2 linked regions of the Saccharomyces cerevisiae S288C genome follow. Changing the gene in region 1 together with any one later gene gives a genetic interaction. Each region holds a gene or a part of one and is shown on either strand. Other genes may lie near its edges.

The links. Genes that interact genetically often act in the same process or in processes that back each other up.
Region 2: mutations in TOS8 (region 1) and ECM12 together harm fitness more than expected from each alone (negative genetic interaction), as found in Saccharomyces cerevisiae (one large-scale study listed by BioGRID).

Annotation. Positions count from the first base shown.
Region 1 is NC_001139.9:323,799-326,734, forward strand, and holds TOS8 (Tos8p), read left to right. Parts: upstream 1-1,532; coding exon 1,533-2,363; downstream 2,364-2,936.
Region 2 is NC_001140.6:147,197-150,180, forward strand, and holds ECM12 (Ecm12p), read left to right. Parts: upstream 1-2,028; coding exon 2,029-2,484; downstream 2,485-2,984. Other genes in the region: 40S ribosomal protein eS27 RPS27B, read right to left, coding at 675-920, 1,471-1,473; YHR022C (uncharacterized protein), read right to left, coding at 2,379-2,984. UniProt on the Saccharomyces cerevisiae protein: May be involved in cell wall organization and biogenesis.

The DNA.
Region 1 (2,936 bases):
GAAGATAAGCAAGCACGGTAGGTAAACCAGATATGCACATAAATTACCGCTGACTCTCCCCTAAAAGAACTATATTGATGGTCTGACATATAAGGCACCGCTGAAAAGCATGTACAATTTTAATGTCTTTGCATTTGCATAGTCAGTGTGGCGTGCATTCTCCACAGAATCTAACTAATCAAATGTATCGTGACTGGGTGTTGCATCATTTTCGCGAATAAAAAATAGAACACTGTAGAGTAGCGCAGCGCTTTTTTTTTATTGAGGCCCTTTGCAGAACCAAGGCTGCAGTCTTTTCTCTGAAGATTAGCTTTGCTAATATAAACAAATCCGTTAAGTTCTTGGGAATTTCTTTGAAGGGGGGGAGGCGGAAATGTAGTGAGTTGTTTTTACTGTGATTTGCTTTTTCTTTCGCTCATGGCTTATTTTCCTTTCCTTTTCTTCCCACATTCAATAATGCAGCGTAAATATAGAACAAGATTACTTGTTTATACGAGATATACGGGCAGTGAATAAAGTGGTACTAGAACTAATTATCAAAAAGAGTAACTGTCATTCAACATTTCTGGCTCTAGACCCAATAGGACATAAACTTTTAGATTTTTGAAAAATGGCTTGGCGCAGCACGGTAATACTAGTTGGTTTTTTAAGCCTACTTTCGCCAATAAAAAAAACTACGAAACAGTTCTTACTTACCAATATCCCCTGCCACTACACTGTACTTTAGTGAACCCAACATCACGAATAAGAAACAATAAACAATAAACAATAAACAAGTGTTGCTTTAGCTCAACTTGCCCCTGAGAAATAACAGCGCAACTATCAACAATGAATGCATAGCATGGAGTAGAGTAAAAAAGCTTTGTTTTGGCCCCGCCTAGACAAGAGGCAGCTGCGCGAAATAAGAAATTATAAACTCTTGTTTTTCTATACTGCTCTCGCTCAACCTTTTTTTCCCACGCCTATTATCGGTTCAAGGGACAGCAGATCCGCTCTGCGCACTGGAGCAGAAACATTCCCAGTTCGGTTCCGACTAAAACCCGCCTTCCCACGCGAAATTCTGGGCCGTTCAAGGCAACTTATTAGTAAGAAGAGCAAGGGGAAGGTACATTAAAGCAAGAGAACCGTGCATGAATTTATAGACATTTTTCATGGGAGGTAGGGAATTTTCAGACTTTAAGTTACACCCCATAGGGGCAAACATACAGCAGTGGTTGTTATCTTTCATTCGCGCCAGGAAAAGCCGCTACCCACACTAAGTGACGTGTAATTGCCGTTCCCTTGTTTTGAAGCACACTGAAAGCTGAAGTGATCATAAGAAAAGAAAAAAATAAATGCTGAGAAGGGTTTGCAAAAAAAGAAAGGTTCCTAGTATATATATGGAAGGCTTCGTTAGCTTAAACTTTCTACAGTCATGCATACAGCAATTTTTTTAGAGCATTACTTCTTGAGTGGCAAAAGCATTTCTTTTTTTTTTCAGTATAGGAAGTAATCACTGTAGAAATAAGTCAACAATAATTGCATAGAAAAAAATGGGTACTAGCATAGTAAATCTAAACCAAAAGATTGAACTGCCCCCAATCCAGGTCTTATTCGAGTCACTTAACCGAGAAAATGAAACAAAACCCCACTTCGAGGAACGCAGGTTATATCAACCTAATCCTTCATTTGTTCCTAGAACAAATATAGCAGTTGGTAGCCCAGTTAACCCGGTTCCAGTATCATCCCCTGTTTTTTTCATTGGTCCTTCTCCACAGAGAAGCATTCAGAATCACAACGCTATTATGACTCAAAACATACGTCAGTATCCAGTTATATATAATAATAACCGAGAAGTTATATCTACGGGTGAGAGAAATTACATAATAACTGTAGGGGGGCCTCCGGTAACTTCTTCGCAGCCCGAGTATGAGCATATCTCAACTCCCAATTTCTATCAAGAGCAGAGACTGGCACAACCTCATCCGGTAAATGAGAGTATGATGATAGGTGGTTATACAAATCCTCAGCCTATTAGCATTTCCCGAGGTAAAATGCTATCCGGCAACATAAGTACGAACTCGGTCCGCGGATCTAATAATGGATATTCCGCAAAAGAAAAAAAACATAAGGCACATGGTAAGAGGTCCAATTTACCAAAGGCCACCGTTTCAATTCTAAACAAATGGTTACATGAGCACGTAAACAACCCTTACCCAACCGTGCAGGAAAAAAGAGAACTGCTCGCGAAAACTGGTCTAACTAAACTTCAAATTTCCAATTGGTTCATTAATGCTAGGAGAAGAAAAATATTTTCTGGCCAGAATGACGCAAATAATTTCAGAAGAAAATTCAGTTCTTCTACAAATTTAGCTAAGTTCTGATTTTACTTTTTTCGGAATTACCTAAAATGGGTTTACGGCATAGAAGATAGATAGATTAAGAGGTAGGTTGACTTTTCCTTTGAAATTTGTAATTTTAATAAAAATTCCAAAAAAAAAAAAAAAAAATTCAAAGTAAAAAGACAAACTTTGGTGAGAATCTTCGATTAACAAAATTACTCCTTAATATTCTTAAATTGGAAAATGATCATGGTTATCAGTGTATTTTCTTTTACCGTGTATATCAAGTTTTATACCCCGTATAGCTTCAATATACGCACTTTTCTCAGATCTTTTTCTGCCGTCATTCCTTTCTTCCTTTTCTTTCAACTAGAAAAAGAAACGAAATCAGACCATATATCTAGTCGCCAAGCATTTTTCCCTTCTTGGATAGGAGGAGCAAAAGAAATACTAACAGTTATTAAAATGCACCATGCCCTCTGTACATCATAAACCCACTTACAGGCTTTTTTTTCATTCTCGATCAGAAGAGAAAAAAAGAAAAATATAACTCGGCAGGCTGTACAACCTTATTGTTCTGCGTAGTTTACCTGGTACATAAACTTCAATCAGGTG
Region 2 (2,984 bases), on another chromosome or scaffold:
CTAACAGCAGCTTTCACTATTTCCAGTGACATTTATGCCCGGTATAATGACCATTGCAATAACATGTATACATGTAATTCCAGGTGCATCATTTATGCTTCTGGCACTTACAGTATAGATTTTAATACCAAAAAATGGTATCAGTAATGTTACCAGCGATTTCTAACCAAATGTGACTGGTATTACTATTAGGGTATTCGATGTATCAAATGTTACTATCATTATCACTATTGTGGATATAGTATTGGGCTCTATCACGATACTCCATTTAACTCCTACAAAGAGGTTACGCTCGGATGAAATGCCTTTGTTTAACACCACAGCAGCTAACTGTGGCTACAGGGTCGAGGACTATATCTGCACTTTTATGGTCATTACTAAGAATACTAGAGAAACTTACTGTACGATACAATTCAAATGACAAAACCTCCTCTCCTACGGATTGTGCCTTTGATCATAAGATTAACAATGTCAAGAATGTTCCTCTCCTTTTAAACATCATTGGAAAATTCATTATTTAAATATATAATGAACCTGCCGACCTACTTCAACATCGCCTCCTTAGCGTATCCTTTCCGATTCTAAAAGGTTAATTTAATTGATTAAAAGTAAATTTATATTTATATATTTAGATAAAAGAAGATGATTTTAACTACACAAAAAAATAAATTAACTTACTTTCTTCTGAAAGAAGTACCTTCAGATAATTTGGCCTTACCACCGGTTGGAGTACATAAGACAGTAGAGCATGATTCACAAGTGACAGCAGTTTGAGCATGAGAAAAAACAGTGGTGATGTTCAAACAACCTGGGCATTTGACATCCAAGAAGTAGGATCTTGGGCCTTGAACCAAAGTCTTTAACTTGTGCTTTCTGGCTTCAGAAGCAGCAGTTGGGTGCAACAAATCTTGAACTAAAACCTGTAATGAAATAAATAGAAACGAAAACGAAAGTCGTTTCACAAAAAAATTGATGTTAGTAATTTGAAAACTGTAGGGTTGGGTAGGATACATCAGAAAAGTTAGAGGAGACAGGAAAAAGTGAGCATTTGTGCTCCAAAAAAAGAAGGATAAATCATTACCCAGCAGTATCCGGCATCATGATCCGCCATCTTCAACTGCTATAAGTTTCTATTATTGTTAGATTACCCATAACTCAACACCATATGCTTATCTCCACAGTAGATCTCAAATTTTCTGCTATACAGAGCCTTTCAATTCCCTATCTAAAAATTAATTGCTTTCTTTGCACGTCTTTAAAGTCTCCGTTACCAGTTTAATGCATGATTTGTTGATTTTGCGGAAACGCATACTCCTATCAAATGTCAGAGGTTGATTACTGCTTTATTTTCCTTTCTTTCTTTTTATTTTAGGCTTTTTTCTTCTACTAGAATTTCATCCGAATTCATTCCTCAAATATTGTTCTCTTCTGTTTCCTTCACATCTTATGTTTAATATCTCTTTCACATACCATATTGATCTAATATATATGCACTAATTATCTGGTGTGTTTTCGTATTCTCTAAATAAAAGCAAATGCTATATAGAACTTTTAACGTCTAATATCAATTATAGATAGTGTTAATGACTTGCAAGTTACAGCACACATGAAAGATGAGAGCATACTTACTAAACTGGGCCCAAGAAAGGTCAGCGGGAAGCAGAGGGGAATTGCTGCATTTCCCACCACGTCCTGGTGGGAGTTTCCTTTCCGAGAGCCACATTGCCTAGCTAGAGGAAGAGAGCCTTGGGCGGGGCGGATCCCGTCTAGATGGGTGGCAAACAAAAGTTTATGGTGGCCCGTGTTAAATGCGAACACACCTTCCTTTTTTCTTCTGAAATTTCCCCGGCAGATTTTTATTAAATTTTTTTCTTTATAATCCAATGGTGCATGGGTGAAAATGTATGGGCTAAATACAAGAAAGGATGTCAATATTTCTTTTTTACGCGGAAGGTTATAATAGACGTAAGTAATATGGAAAGAATTTATGGGATTTATAAAATAGATAATAAGTAGATAGCTGTCACAATGAACAGATCTTTTCACTTTCTAATAAAGTACATATATATACATGTTCTTCTTGTTTTTTATTTTCACATTAAGCAGCAGGCTATTATGCCTTTTTTTATTTTTTTCTTTTCATCATTCGACGGACTTTCATTTGACCTTCGAGTGGTAGCGTTTTTAGCCAAGCACGTTTTCGTTGGCGTTTGTTCACCCTTTTTTGTTGTAGGTTTTTTTGGTTCATCTAGAGTAGTTGTTACTGAATGGCTTTCGAAGCTTGTATTACCTCCTCCTCCAGTTTCAATAACACAGGTCTTCTCTTTGTCACGTAAGAGAGGCGAATTCTCCAGCGGATACATCTTGATTATAAACCCTTACAAAAGTTTCCTGCGATCACTTTTAGATTTTTCAATTTTCAATAATACTGCCAAGAACAAATCTTCAACATTTACATTGAACTTGGAGGATGTCTCAAAATAGTCTAAATTGCCTGGCGAGAAACCCAGCTCTTGGATAAATGTTAAAACCTTTTCATGAGTAATTGTTCTTTCCGAATCAAGATCACATTTCGTACACGCTATAATAATTGGAATATCCAATTCACATTCCAAACGTACGTGGTGAATAATACAAATATAAGACTCTAAGCTGGCAAGAGAGCTGTCATTAGTAGAATCGAAACATAATATAATTGCATCAGACTGCCTAATTTGAAGAGTAGTTAGCTCCGAAAGGTACGAAACCTCCATTTGATTGGTATCAAAAACTTGAACATCAATACTGGTGCGTCTTTGAGCAGTCGATTTATTGGCATTGATCAGGCGCTCTTCTAGGAAATTGCCACAACTTTCATAAATTGTGCCAGAGTTTTTAGCTTTGAAACCCGCATAATTCGGCAACTGTCCTTTTACGCCAAAGGTACGATAGTATTTTACCAAAGTATCAAATTGGATTGTCTTGTGGTAGAGGTCCGAAACCCT